Tribolium castaneum: one gene and its partner. The protein of the gene in region 1 interacts with the protein of each later gene in a biochemical or structural test. Links are inferred from orthologs where the notes say so. Each region holds a gene or a part of one and is shown in the gene's direction. Other genes may lie near its edges.

Evidence for each region.
Region 2: the proteins of elongation factor-like GTPase 1 (region 1) and Sbds interact in a biophysical measurement, tested with the Homo sapiens proteins (2 studies listed by BioGRID and IntAct, with this or other methods). The link is inferred for Tribolium castaneum from reciprocal best matches to the Homo sapiens genes EFL1 and SBDS.

What each region holds. Positions count from the first base shown.
Region 1 is NC_087394.1:28,829,972-28,838,351, forward strand, and holds elongation factor-like GTPase 1, read left to right. Parts: upstream 1-4,214; 5' UTR 4,215-4,359; intron 4,360-4,438; 5' UTR 4,439-4,439; coding exon 4,440-7,418; 3' UTR 7,419-7,455; downstream 7,456-8,380. Other genes in the region: maternal embryonic leucine zipper kinase, read right to left, coding at 1-44, 464-614, 2,549-2,600. UniProt on the Homo sapiens protein: GTPase involved in the biogenesis of the 60S ribosomal subunit and translational activation of ribosomes.
Region 2 is NC_087395.1:24,036,219-24,043,576, reverse strand, and holds Sbds (ribosome maturation protein SBDS), read left to right. Parts: upstream 1-3,144; 5' UTR 3,145-3,305; intron 3,306-3,405; 5' UTR 3,406-3,534; coding exon 3,535-3,665; intron 3,666-3,711; coding exon 3,712-4,339; 3' UTR 4,340-4,402; downstream 4,403-7,358. Other genes in the region: uncharacterized protein LOC663281, read right to left, coding at 2,609-2,746; corrinoid adenosyltransferase MMAB, read right to left, coding at 4,403-4,633, 4,680-5,025, 5,072-5,133; LYR motif-containing protein 9, read left to right, coding at 5,348-5,497, 5,549-5,641, 5,687-5,704; probable tRNA (uracil-O(2)-)-methyltransferase, read left to right, coding at 5,706-7,358. UniProt on the Homo sapiens protein: Required for the assembly of mature ribosomes and ribosome biogenesis.

The sequences.
Region 1 (8,380 bases):
TATTCGGGATCGTTGCATTGAGTGGTCGAGACGTTACACAAATCCTAGAAAAAAATTAAGTATCTACTTAAGTTTCTAAATTATGGGCTGGGAGTATTGGCTGCGAGTAATAAGCTACAGCCGTTCAGATATTCATTGAATTTTAGTTATTCTTGTAATTCTTTCGGAACGCCATTACCGTATGACTTATGGCCAGAGCGGTGCTCACATGAAAGACTAAAATGAAGTTGTCTAACCCGAGGCTTTAATGAGACAATACATCACCAACACTCGGCAAAAATTCCCACCTTTGTAAAAGTCACTTTTAGCACTCATCTTAAAATCACAATAAAGAATACAAGAAGACGAAAAATTATACATTTATTCAAATTGACTTTTCCGAAAGACATTTTTTTGCGTATTCTGACCAGCCAAAAAGTAAATTCGACCAAGAAATAACTGTTTTCAATTGCGAATACTCTACCTTGGTGCTCAAAATCACCGGTTGGTTTGGATCTTCGACCGAAGTTTTCCGCGGTGTGAGCACATGTCGCACTTTATGCAATGAGCGTTCGATGCTTCCCAAAACTCTTCTTGCCGATCCCGGAGTTTCAGCGTTTGAAGCACTCCTCTTTCTGTAAAAATATTGAATTAAGGGCATGGTTTAGCAGCCCCACAAAAAAGCGAAAAGTAACGACCAAAAGGATGTTTAAAACGCCATTTTTTTTTACTTAAACTATCCTGAAATGATATTAAATGGCTTTTTTTTAAGTAAACATAGAATTTCAGAGATAAAAAATACTGTGTAGATGCCAGGAATTTAGTCTATTTTAATTAAGAGCCCTAACAACTAAATACTATTTTGTAAATAAATGCATATCAAGCTATTAAATGTTTATTAAAAAAAGTAAATTTTAAAGAAAATTTTTTATAACTTAAAACCTATTTAAAAATTACTTTAAAACACTTATTTAACATAATTTTAAAACAAAAAATAACAGAAAAAATACCTCAGAACCAATTGTTTGAAGGAAAAATACTTGTTAGTAATTTGTGACATCTCTTTTGGCTTTAATGACGGTTCCAATGTACGTTGGCATATTTTTAAAGAATCTGTAACAGATTTCTTATTGCTCCAAATATGTTCTAATTTAATTTTTAAAACTTCCAATGGCCATTAAGAAAGATCTATAAGATAACTTTTCATTTTGTGCCAAAAAGACACAATGATATTTAAATCAGCGCTATTTGCTAGCCAAAACATAACAAGAATTACCAAATTATTATTTCATAAATTATGCTGTGTGACAAAAAGCATTATGTTTTTGAAAAATAAAAATATACATTCAAGACATAATTTTTCAGAGGGTGGTATAAAGTTTTTGCAAAATATATTTAATGCTGTTTACCGTAGGATCTATGAACTCAAATTGTACCACACCATTTGTTATTTGGCAAATTTTAACGGATTTTTGAAAGTCTTTATAAAAGGTCTCTAGTTTATTTCGTATTACCGTTTTAGTGAATCTTACTTAGAATCTCAAAAGTATACATCAAATTAAGACTCTTTAGTAAATAAGACTTTACTAGTCATTGTATGCCCACTACCACTTGTACCAGAGAACAGAGTTCTATGCTTTATTTTGAGCAGCAGTGAATGTGTTTCTTTGCCTACTTAAAAAAATATTTAGAAAAGTTAAAAATTTTATTATTCATTTGTGTCTTCCTTATAAAAAACAAGATCTTTTTTTTATCGATCAGCGACAACATTCGGAAGAATATTAGAATATGTTTCTGCAATCCATAAAGCAGTGATTTCTCCTAAAGTGCTTTTGCGGCAACTTTTACAAATTTTTACTAAGTATCGTAGCTTTTGTGTTACAACTCGCACCTCGCATCCATCTACTTGAATAATCGTTGCCACAAAAAAATACTTCATATTCAATTTTTTGACAACTTGTGCCATAGAGGACTCTAGAGTACTCCAGAAAAATTATTTTGCCTTTGCTGGAATTGCTATTTTTTAATAAATTAAAACGTAATATGAATACAAATGTGGGTAAATTTCATCATTTATATATTTTTTTCTGATAACATTGAAAATGAGACAATAAATTACAAAAAATACTTGAGCAGTATTTAAAAAATTAGATACGTTTGAATCCATACAAATTATTAGATTTTGTTCAAACATTTATGGCGTGTGTGGGCAAGGACCTGTTGTGTTTCCGAAAAATGAGTGGATGAAATAAATTCGCAATGTCTCCCCGATTCGTCCTTGGCCAGTTTTCGCAAAGTGCACAAATCGCGGCGTCCAAACGGACCGGAAACCGATGTTTATGATAATCAAAGCTGGTAAACATGTCCGGCCATCGAGGCAGCAACCGCGTGCAGGTTCACCAAGCACGTTCAACCCCTTGTTTACAACCCCTACAGTCCATATACTCGACACTTTACTGCTTCAATTACCACGACCGGAACGCTTAATCAGGGAGACAAACGCACCGGTGTATGCCAATTAGACGGCAAAAATTCGGCTCGTTAGCGAGCAATTTTTCGACTCACTCACCTTTCTGGAGTTTTCGGCGTAGATCTCTCCGTTGTGGATTTTTTGCTGGGCACTGAAAATTCAAATAAAATCATCGAATTGAATATCTTAATGGAAGAGGATAAATCCCATTCGCCTTTATAGTGCCGCTATAACAGCAACATCATAAAGGGTCGCGTTGTAACAAAGTTAAAACGGTGATATTTTAACGTGGGTCGGGTGAGCGATGCCACCCCAGAGACCACTTCACCAACTGCTTCGACGATATTTTCCGGCACTTTCTTATTAGTGCTTAGAACACTTGTGCAAACTTGAACTAATTTAAGACTTTTAAGCCATAAAGAAGGAGGTAACAGCCCTTGAAGAACTGGACACTGATATACACATCTGCACTCTTAAGGCTATACTAAGATGCAGTCATTTAAAGTTTTAACTACTTTGCTGTCGCCTGTTTCGTGATGTATCTCCTGTTTACTCGGAATTTATGCAATTAAATTACCTCCGGGAAAGATTTGGCCAAGACGCCAACAGAACTCAAAGAGTTAATTTATTGCTTCTTTAGCTAAATTGCAACAAAGATTTTCACGATTTCTTTGACAATAAAACAATGTACTCGTAAATCAGTTTACAGTTAATTAACTACAAAATAATTAATATTCTGACTTCTTGACCTTATCTATTATTTTATTGCCCAATATTTAATTATTGAGAAAATTATAAACATTAACCAAAATATATGTATGACTCTTCTTGGTTTTAATAAAAGAAGCAATGAGAACTTGAATCTCCAACTAAATTATATTTTTACTGATTATACTTATCATAAGTAGTTTTTAGAATTGCATTAGAGATGATTACAAATTGCTTGAAGAATTCAAAAAGTAAATAAAACCTTATTAATCTTTTTGACATAGTATTCGAGAGTAAGGTTTAAAGTAGTTTAAATAAAAAAATAATGTTATGCAAGTAAACAACAGGGTCCAAGAAGTAGAAATTATAATTTTTATTTGTTTATTTTTTGTTAATCGTAACATTTCATAAGATTTAGAAATTACATCCTATCACTCGTTAGGAGAAAGAGATAATTTTTAAGCTGTTTTTTTATTACGAATATGAAGAGCATTTCACATAAGTCAATTACAAATTTTGGAAAAATTGGAGTCTTCTCTAATTTGTTCACCCCTTCAAAAATTAGGTACAACGTTGTTAGTTAATTTTTGAGTAACTGATTAAGATAGATAGATTAGAATCATATTCATTCCGTCTCTTGATAGAACACATAATAACTGTTTCTGAAAAAAAACCAAACATGACTATTATTGAAACAGTGATTAGTTTGACTAGTATTATCAGCGGCTTCTAAAAATTAAATAATAAATTATTTCTAGTGACTTCAGGCTCTTATATATTTGGATGCGTACATTAGACGCAGGTCTCATAAAGTTGTGCAAAACACTTAACTTTTTGAACAAAAATTTGAAATTGTATGCAACCAACATTACACAAGTGTACGTCTCTTTATTGACGAATTTAGAAAGTCCTGTAAAGTCTTACTCTTCACTTTATTATTCTAGGTGTTCTGTAGACAATGTTAATTGCTTACTGATCATTATAAAATAGCATAAAAAAATGTTAAAGTAAAATAAAGAGGCCAATTCGAAAATTTCAACCACTTTCAACAACTTGCGTAACGCGTAAACCGGCCATTATTTAACCCGAACTCGCTCTAAACCTCCTTTATTTCTGACAGCTGCCTGAAATGTGACTTAACCTCAACTTTTCACCCTTCATTTTCCACACATTTCACCGTTTTAAACCGCAATTTCACTCAAGTAAGTACTTCAGACGACAACTAACCCCTTCGTGAACACACCTACTCCTAGCACCACCTTCACAAATTACAATTTTCAGCATGGGTGCCCCACTCGAAGTCCTCCAAGAATGCATGAAAAACACATCGTGCATACGAAATGTATGCATTTTGGCACACGTGGACCACGGCAAGACCACAATCGCCGATTCGCTACTAGCCACGAATCGTTTAGTAAGCAAACGCATGGCTGGTCTGGTCAGGTATTTAGACGACCGACTGGACGAGCAAGAACGTGGAATTACCATGAAAAGTAGCGCAGTGTCTTTAATAAACTTAGTCGAAGATGAAGACACGAAAGAAGAAAAGCCGCTTTTGTTGAATTTAATTGATACACCCGGACACATCGATTTCTCCTCCGAGGTGGGCGCAGCCCTACGCGTATGCGACGGGGCCCTAGTCGTGGTCGACTTAGTCGAAGGCGTGTGCGTACAAACACGCGAAGCCATCAAACAGGCGTTCACAGAACGCTGCAAAATGATACTAATTCTAAACAAAATAGATAAATTAATCGTGGAGTTGCACAAGGAAGTGAACGACATTTTCCAGTCGATTTTGCACGCGATTGAGGACTGCAATGCGATCGTTGCGGAACTGTACCAATACGAATATTGCAATCCTGACGTCGATATTGAAGACACCGGACTTTTGTTTTCACCGGACGCCGGAAACGTGATTTTTGCAAGTGCCATCGATGGGTGGGGCTTCACCCTCAAACAAATAGCCTCGATGTTTGTGAATGCCATCAAAAGTGAAACCGTAGACTCACTGAATACGAAATTATGGAATTTCGATGCTTACGTCGACGGTAAAACAAACACAGTTAAACTAGGAGCGATCGAAAAGGGCAAAACTAATTTATTTGTGCAACTGTGCATCAAAACGATATTCCACATCTACTCAACCATAGTCATCCAAATGCAAAGGGATAAAGTTGGCACCATTGTCCAGAAACTGAACATTACGAACGTGACGCGAGAAATGAACCACACGGACCCCAAAACCCAAGTCAAGGCCATAATGCAAGCTTGGAGCCCCCTTGCCGATGTCATTTTACACCAATGTATGAAAATTATCCCGCCACCCTCAAACATGCACGAAGACAAAATTAAATATCTCCTCGATTTTAACAAATTTTGCGAAAACGAGTTTCACAAAAATTGTCTCGAAAAACTAATCACGGTGTTCAAATCGTGTTCCTCTGACGACTCCACACCGTGTACTGCATATGTTTCGAAAATGTTTTGCGTCGACAATAAGAACTTGTCACAAAACAAACCTAAAGTTTTTATCCCCAAGCCGAGACCTAAAAATACTGAACCCAAGCAGGAAAATGGCGAAAAAACAAACCACACTGAAAAGGAAAAAAATTGCGAAGAAGAGAAACCTCGGGATGAATTTTCTATAATAGCACTGGCGCGAGTTTTCACCGGTTGTCTCAAAACGGGCCAAGAAATCTACGTCTTGTCACCTCAATACGTCCCCCAAGAAGGCAAAACAAGTGATACGTGTGCCCAATTAGTGAAAGTTAAAGAACTTTATATGCTTTTTGGTCGTGAGTTGGTCCTAGTTGATGAAATAACGGCTGGAAATGTGTGTGGTATCGGGGGGCTGGAGTCGGCTATAGTCCGCACAGCAACCCTATCAACAACTCTACAGTGTGTCGCATTTATTGAACACCCATCACAGCCCCCTATAGTCCGAAACGCCATCGAACCAACCAATCCGAAAGACCTTCCAATTTTAAGACAAGGTTTGCGCGTACTAATGCAAAGTGATTCTTGCGTCCAGGTCGTAATAGAAGAATCAGGAGAGTATGTTTTACTGACAGCAGGGGACGTACACCTTGCTAAATGTCTGGAAGATTTGACGACGAAATTTGCCAAAATTGAAATCAACGTTTCCAGTCCGATGGTCTCACTGCGGGAAACTGTGACCCACGGAAGCAACAAAAGCGACTTAAAGAAAGACCTGGAGAATTCGGTCACAGTAGAAGTGGCCCAGATTCGTTTAACCGTAGTTGTGGTCGCTTTACCGGACGTTATAGCCAACGAAATCGAAAAGAACTACAAACTGTTGCACTCAATCGAAGAACACCAACAAATCAGCGGATTCGAACTGTTCGCCAAACGTGCGTCAAAACCTGAAGACTTGAAACCCCCAACTTTAAAAATGTTCAAAAGCGACGTCACTAACGTCTCACTTAAACATGTGAGCGAGCAATTAAGCTCGGTTTTCGCTTCGTGTAAAGGCATTTGGGCCAAAATCGAAAATAAGGTCTGGAGCGTGGGCCGCATGCCTGACAGTATAAATTTACTAATCAACGGGACCAGTAATTACGCGCGAAATATTTACGAAACTTTGGACGAGAAAGACCCGCGGTCGTGTTTCGACCAATTTGTGGTGAACGCCTTCAATTCGTGCTGCAAAGCTGGCCCGCTGTGTGAAGAACCACTGAAAAACTGTGTTTTCCTGGTGAAAAACTTTGAAGTCAGTCATGACGAGAGCTTGGACGGGACGACCAAAACCAGTGTTAATATCGAATCGGCTCTGAGTTCAGCGTTTCGCGAAGCGTTCGAAAAACAACAGCAGAGACTCATGGAACCGATGTTTACGACCAGTATTCAAGTCAACACAAATATTTTAGGAAAAGTCTACTCGGTTGTGAGTAAACGGCACGGGAAAGTTCTGGACGCTGTCGGAATGGACGAGCAAGAGAAAAGTTTTCTGGTTAAGGCCCAGATTCCGGTTGTTGAAAGTACGGGTTTTGCTAACGAAATGCGCAAAACGACTTCTGGGCAAGCGATTCCTACTTTGAAGTTTAGTCATTTTGAGATTATCGACGGTGATCCGTTTTACGAGCCGGTGGAGGACGACGAAGAAGAGGAAGATGTGAATGTGGAGTCGGCTATCAGGGCCACCAAACTTAGAAAAGCGATAAGGAAACGGAAAGGGTTGCACGTGGAGGAACAGGTGGTCGTGCATGGAGAGAAACAAAGGACGCTCAATAAGAAAAAATAAAAGTGAAACTAACACGTGAATAAATATTTTTGTAAGATGTTAGGCTTTGTTTTGGGGGCTGGGGATGACTATACTTTCACAAAATATATAAAACAAAAACAAAAAATAAAGTGATACAGTGCAACCTCGATAATCCAACCAAATACAACATGAGACTTATTTTGATTTGTAAAAAAATATTTACTATAATGATCATATAAAAATTCTCGACAAAATTATATAAAATACCTCAAAATTTAGCCTTGACTTTCAAAATTTCGTCAGATTAAGGGTTATTTTTTGCTTCCTGTTGGAAAAGTGGATAACTTTAAAATTTTTGTTTAGCAACTTCTGATTCGCTTGATGGATACAAAATTCAATATGTTGTCTATGTTGTTTTAAACAGAAGATTTACCTGCTATTTATCGTGTTTTTTTCAAAAACCCACCTTTTGGGAAATATTTAAGATTTTGCGTTTAATTTTTTTTTAATAATTACATGTGATTTTTTTAATAAACGTTTAAGTTTTAAGAGCAATGAAGTAAATGACTGCACAGGACACACAAAAATTACAGGCAGATAGGCATTAAATCATCTATAGCACTCAGTAAAAAACAGTAATTTATATATTTTATTTTTCCCATGTTTGACGTGAAAATTTTAGTCAAGTTTTCTCAATTTATCAAAAGTTTAGTGGTCAAAGTTCCTTTCCTTTTTCGAAGTAATTAACTAGTTTAATTTAAAATTAATTAAACAATTTGGTTCCGAGATGATCTAAACGCTACTTGATATCTCGTGCAAAAATGTTATTTGAAAATAAGTAATTCCTTCTTTTACAATGAAAATTGCCTTTTGTAGCAACTTCTAAATTCAAAATTTTCTATTTGTATTATGCAACCACAACATTACGTTGTTTTTACAAGATTATTTAACAATCTACATAATATTTCTCGGGAAATATTGTTTGGAATAGTTTGTTTTAC
Region 2 (7,358 bases), on another chromosome or scaffold:
CACGCAATATAATCCCAAACAAACAAATCCACTTTCTCTCTTTTGTTCAGACACGTCGATTGTAATAAAACTTCCATCTCGATTCGGAAACCCATCGTCCAGTCTGCTATAGTTCACGCACAAAGTGCGTAGGTTTATTTACAAACAGCCTAATTATAATGCACGCTCGAGATGTTGAAACGATTTGCATAAAAATTCGCTTTATTAAGACACGCAGGAAAAAAACAATACCAACTACGACATGTTTTATTTATCATATTAATTTGCATTTTAATCGCGGTTTAATTACAATATTCAATTTATATTTCATCGGCCAAACATTCCGGGTATTTTATTTTTTCTTTCAATCATCCGGTCGAAAAATTGGCATAATCATCGTCGATTTTCTAGCGAAATGGGTTAAAATGGCGCCGGAATACAATGCAAGACCGCCGTCATTTCCGCATGACATCAATTTTTAATATGTGCAATTACGACGCGTTTTTCGATCGACATGTAACGGTCCGTCGCCGACTTCCACGCTTTACCGACCAACGAAATCTATCGATTTCGATCTGTCAACTTTCACGACGACAAAAACCTCACCCGGATAGGTCATTAATAAACTTTTCGTAATCGCAGGAAATTAAGACGATATAGAGTGCAATAATTACATGACTTAAGTCGGTTACTACCGGCTCGGATTGTATAATTTCATTAGCGCTGGAAAAAAATGATAGCAAGGCGGGAAAGTCGACGAAATGCGATAAGAATTCGTTATTACCTCATGAGAATAACTCCTGAAAGGTTGAATTAACGTCGGAATTTTCAGATTCTGCAAATGTCGTTACGTAACATTCCATTACGGCCATTTTAATTACTTATACGCTTACAAGGTTGTGTTGCAATTCCGCGGCCTCCTAAATTGCTTTTCGACTTATCTACATATAGACAACTTTTTTCCATCTATCCATATTTGAGAAGACGCAAAAAGCGAGACGTGAGGATGAGCAGTCGTGAGAATATCAACATTGAAATTACTTCCTTATCATAAAGTTAACTCGAGATTAATGAGAATTGCTCCCAAGTGGACGAAAAATATTCAACACGTCTAAGATGATTCCCGTTTTGTATTGATTCAAACGACACGTGCACGTAAATGATTATCTCTGGCAAATTATCAACCAAGCGATAAAAAACATAAACATAAATCCGAGATTAATAACACCACACTTTTTGTTCTTTTTGGTGAAAATCTCTGCTTGACGTCCTCACCCATAAATTTTAATTATTAATGAGAGAAAAGAAAGATTAGACCTGTATCAAATCGCATAAATTGCCAGAAGCCAAGAAAATGTCAACATTATTCATTTCATTTTCTAAATATGGCTCGCTTTAAAAAATCAAGCAAATACTAGCATGTTATCAAGTGTCACGTTAATCCGAATTGAAAAATCGGAAACTCTCTTAATTCAAAACATCAACAACATAGAAAATCACAATTTGGAAAACAATGAAAAAAATCGGGGTTAATTTAAAAGTTTTAAAATTCCTTTTTTATTTGAAAACAGTTTCCATTTGCAAGATTTATTCATTTAAATATTGACATAATACATACATGTTTGAATACATATCTACACTTTATTTCTTTTTACGTGAAAACAAACGTGATGCTTGCTTTTTATATTTCGTAAATATTTGTGGCCTCCGCAATGCCAGTTATTTCATATTTTAATTTTTTTACTATAATACGTATTGTGTTTCTTCAATTTCACTTCAAAAACTTGCAACAATTGTAAAATGTATGCATATCTATTAAAATCAAATTAAAACTTTTCCGAACTTTCATTAAGCAAACATTACTTATGCTAATGCAAACATAAAGGGAGACAACATTTACATTTCTAGTCAAAATCTCACTTGTAATTTTTGTGCTGTAAAATGCTCATTTCTCCAAGCATTGACATGCCAATTCTGGCCAATAGCTAAAAATAGTCTCTACACACAAAAACGGTGTCAATGTGCGGAATTTTTCTAAAATTATATCAGAGGAAAGTCATTAAAATAATTTCAAGAATTAATTAGATAAACACATCCAGTTTATTACTCACCAAGAAATAATTAATTAAATGCCATTACTACGATAGATCGCCAATTTCTCATACAGTTTGCATAAATTCCTAGTCACATTTCCGCATGAAAAACTGTAAATTAGTACTTTGTGTTGTTTTTAGAATCGTACGTTGAAATCCGCTCCACATTTTCATTATCACAAAACAAACCGAAAACCACAAACAGAAAACACAAAGTGGACTGCTTGCCGTCTTAACAATCTCGTTATCACACTTTTTAAACAGAAAACCTGGGCGTGAAAGTACCAAATTTCATCAATTATCAATTTTTTGTAATTAGATAACAACGGTAACCCGATCTATGCCAGGATTAACTCCTCAAAAACCTAATCCCTTTAACAACATGACTCATATAATCCGTTTTTTAGACGGAATTTTCTCCAGCCCCTCGATCAATGAATTGCAAATCGGCCCCCGAACCGGTCCAACGTCTATTGATTCGTTTTCCTGGTGCCGGAGGCGCCCAAAAAACCCTTCCTGTGTAAACACATACTCACTTTGGGCCTAAGACGCACCCTTGGGGGCTTCCACGAAGTGTTTCCGTTGGCGCTGCCGCCGCCGCCGCCGGAGAACAGGATGCTCTCCCATGGGGACGGCGGGTTCGGGGTCCTCGGGGGCGGCAAAATGTACAACATTGCTCACACGAATCACCAAGACATTGCGTACAATGGGGTTGTTTAACCGTTTTTTCACGACACTCGCACCGAGACTGCTTGCAGCAAACTGACAGAACAGCTGCGAGTACGATGGGAGAGCTGCGGCACGACAACCGCACGATACTAAAAACCCTGGTACCGTTATTGTCCAACTTGGGAATAAACGGGTCGGAAAAGGTGACAGCAATGGGTTTTATGCCTTTTTTGGTAGCGGATTTGAGAAAATGACCAAAACCGAACCGTCGGGGCAATTTCACGTTATCAAAACACGGGGATATGTTTGTTTACTTTGGCTGACAAGAACCCTATTATTCACTCGGAGATTAGATAAGATCTTGCTCAAATATAACCTTAATTTGAATCTCGGTGTTTTTAAGTCTCACAGTCGGGAAACTTCGCGGTTCTAAATATAAACAATGACAAGGGTTGGAAATATTTGACTTACGAGACTCGTCGGCGAATTGTTTGTGCTGGGGCTCCGCCGCACCGTCACTAGGGCCATTCTGGACTTTTCACTCGTAACACCCACATGAGTACGGTACTGTGCACGTTTTTTCAAAAAAAATAATAAACTGATATTTTTGACAATTACGAAAAGACAACAAACGTCACAATAAGCCCGTGTTCAATACTTTCAGTTCGACCAATCACATCGCCCGATTCAGAAATTAACCAATCGGCGACCAGAACCACTCAGATGTTAGCCAGGCGTCCTCTACCGGCCAACTCACCCAACTTGCCATTTAAACGTCAAAAGTCAAAAAATAATGTCGAAAATATTTACCCCCACGAACCAAATCCGGCTAACAAACATCGCCGTGGTCCGCATGAAAAAGGGCGGAAAACGTTTCGAGATCGCCTGCTACCGGAACAAAGTTGTGTCATGGAGAAACCAAGTGTAAGTAGAGCGAGTCCAGGATTGCACAATTTGACTTGATTTTCAGTGAAAAGGACATTGATGAGGTGTTGCAATCCCACACCGTCTTCGCCAACGTTTCCAAAGGCCAAGTTGCGAAAAAAGAGGATCTAGTCAAGGCGTTCAATACCGAGGATCAGACAGAAATCTGCAAAGAAATCCTCCTGAAGGGCGAACTGCAAGTCTCCGACAAAGAGCGGCAAAGCCAAATCGACCAACTGTTCAAAGATATCGCAACGACGGTCGCCGAAAAATGCATAAACCCCGAACTGAAGCGCCCGTACCCCGTCACAATCATAGAAAAAGCCATGAAAGATGCACACTATTCAGTCAAGCCCAACCAATCGGCTAAACAGCAGGCGCTTCAGGTGATTAAGCTGCTGAAGGAGCAAATCCCGCTCGAACGAGCCAAGATGCGGCTTAAGGTCATATCGAAGGGAAAAGTCGCCAAAAAAATGAAGGACAAAATCGGCAAGTTCGAGAGCGTGGAAGTGGAGAAAGAGGACCGCGATGACGACCAACTAACGCTAATTTTTTTGGTGGACCCTGGGCACTTCAAGGAAATCGACACGATGGTGCAAGCGGAAATTAAGAACGGCTCCTACCTTGAGGTATTATCATACAAAGAAATGGCCTCAGGTCTTGAACAGTTGTAACAGTTTTGTTGATATTTTTTTATTAAAACTTTGTAAACTTTCCTATGTACAAAATGTAATAAATTATTGAGCTTGGACTTTCTCGTCGGGTTTGGGGATATAGATCGACTCCGTCCTCTTGTCTAACTTAGCGGCCATTCGTGAGACGATAAACAAAAAGTCCGAGAGTCTATTGAGGTAAATAAGGGCCTCGTTGTGCAAATGCCCTTCGTTCACCAGAGGAACGATCACGCGCTCAGTCCGGCGACAAACCGCCCGTGCAACGTGCAGAGACGCACTCGGGATGCCGCCCCCCTGAAACCCACAATTACCACACCCGAAAACGCACCAAATCAATTACAGGAATAATGTACTGTTCAGGCGGCGGCAACTGCTTCGAGTATTCCAAGATCCAGTCTTCCAGCTCTTTGGTGTAGTTTTTCGGGATGATTTTCTTCGCCTGGTCGTTCGAGCGCGAAATCGCCGTGCTTAAATCTATGATTATTGTCTGAATTCGCTTGAGTTTGTCTGAGTATTCGTGCTCCGCCTCTTGTGCATACTCGCGGGCCAGGCCTATGTGGCTTAGCAGCTCCTCGGCGGCCCCGATAGCCTCGAAGATCTTTGAGTCTTTGGGTAGAGTATCAGAAGTGAGGGTTTTGGACGTGCCACGGTCACCGTCACGATTAAAGTACTCCTGAGGGGGCTTCCTAAACCCAATTAAAAATAAACGGGCACGGGACCCCCACAACTTACTTATCACAATATTGGCGCAAAAGTGTGCTCACTTGGGGCCGGAATAAACGGCGGAAGACCATCGTTTGCTGGGAAATTGACGGATGGTGAGGTTAGGGTGGCGGTGTCAAAAGTTACGTCACTCACACCCGGAAAACTACGATAATTAGCGCAAATCAAGCAAATGCGTTCACAAGCCAAGCTCTACCAGCATTTTAATTAATTGCGAACGGTCCGATTTGATTATTTCATCAGTGGTGTCACGGGTTCAATTTTCGGCGAACATAACCCCAAACTATGTCCAAGACTTGCATGCAATTCTTTCGCTTTAGTCACTGCACCAGTAAAGCCGATACGTCCCCGAAGGCCCTATACCGGCACTTGATACGCCAGTGTGAGAAACTGCCCGAAGGGCCCCAAAAATATTACAAGTTTATGATCAAACAGGTAAGTAAGTTCGTGCCAAGTTGGCGGAGTCACCCAAATATTCGATTTAAGAGTTTCAAACAGCACGTTAATGAAACCGACCCCCAACGCATCCAACAAATCGTCGCAAGGTCTTACGAGGACGCTGACTGGGTCTTGAAAAAAGTGAGTTGCGTAAGTGGTTTAGCAAAAAACGAGTTCAATTTCTAGTATCTTGGGAAACAGTAACATGGAGGAGGTCCCCCTGGTCAGGAGTTGCACTCAAGTCCCTTTGGAAAATTTCTGGAAGGCTGTTTTAGTTTACCACAATAGGCCCCACGTGATCAATCGCAAATTAGCAGCGATTGTGCCCCTTATCTTTTGCAAAATCACACTCAACTGCCCTGGCGTTAAACGCCTGAGGGACGTTTTCACCTGGGAGTCCCTCATATACGAAGTTAGAAAGTTACCCGACTTGTCCCAAATCACTCCACAATTTATTAAAAATATCACGGAAATTTACGACAAAAAAGCCACAGTTGAGGAAACGGCGCTAGAGACATTGGATAATTGTTACGAGGGCACTTTTCTATCAATTCGACAGTTACTTTCGCGCAAAAACAACGAAAAATGCCTTGAAATCGCAATTTTTGATAAAGACACCCAAACTGTTACTTTTCTCGCCGCTCAAGAACAAACCAGTCCGATCATAGCCCCCCGATTTCCCTACCACATCCACTTGACCAAATCGGGACACCTGACTATCATTTTGAACGAATTTGAAATTGCCGAAACGGCAAGTGCTGAATGGCTTGCCGATAAATTATTTCCAAAATTGATGAAATGGAGCGAAAACGACATTAGTGACGATTCTGTGATAAAATCTCTGAGTCTTGTAGCCCCTAGTGACTACTGCACGCTTTACTCCGAATTGAAGGTGAAATACGGCAGAGATTTGGTCGAAAAGTGGCCACAAAAAGCCAAAACTGATCCCCAAAAATACGTTTTTGAGGACATCGCAATCGCGGCTTACTTGATCAGTTTATGGCGGCATTTAAAGACTGAAAATATCAATTTCGTGGACTGTGGGTGCGGCAATGGTCTCCTCGTCTATATTTTAAACAAGGAGGGTTTCAAGGGCTGTGGTTTCGATATTCGAAGTCGGCAAGTTTGGGAGATTTACGGGGGCGAAGCCGACCTTCGCACAGGTGCAGTCACCCCAGAGTCAATTTATCCGGACGCCACTTGGCTCATTGGTAATCACTCGGACGAGCTAACACCTTGGATTCCGATCATTGCACTCAACAGTTCACCCAAGACGAATTTTTTCGTTCTGCCTTGTTGCCCGTACGACTTAAGTGGTCGCAAATATGTTAGAATTAACGCTGCATTAAGCCAGTATGGGGACTATTTGGATTATGTTAAAAATATTTCCACAATGTGTGGATTTACGACGTCGGTTGACAAGCTGAGGATTCCGTCAACGAAAAGAACTTGCCTTGTGGGAAACAAAAATGAGCCCGAGCTTGAGGAAACTAGGCAAAAAATGAAGGAATTTGTTGAAAAAAATACAAGGGACTTTGTGCCGCGAGCAGCGGTCGAGAAAGTTCGTAACTGTACGAGGCTGGACCCGGATTTGAAGAAAAAAATAATTAATTTGATCGTTGACGAATTACTTCAAACACCTTGTGATTCCGAAATCTCGGACTGGAAAACCGGGGGGACAATGTCTTTGGAAGAATTGAGCCAGAAAATTTCAAGCGAGGACCGCAAGGCGCTTAAAAATGAATGTGGGGGGCTCCAAACTCTAATAAAAAATCACAGATATATTTTCGAACTGCGCAAAACTTGGGTTACACTACGTGCCCCCCAAACCCTTAAACAAACCGACAAATACAAGGAC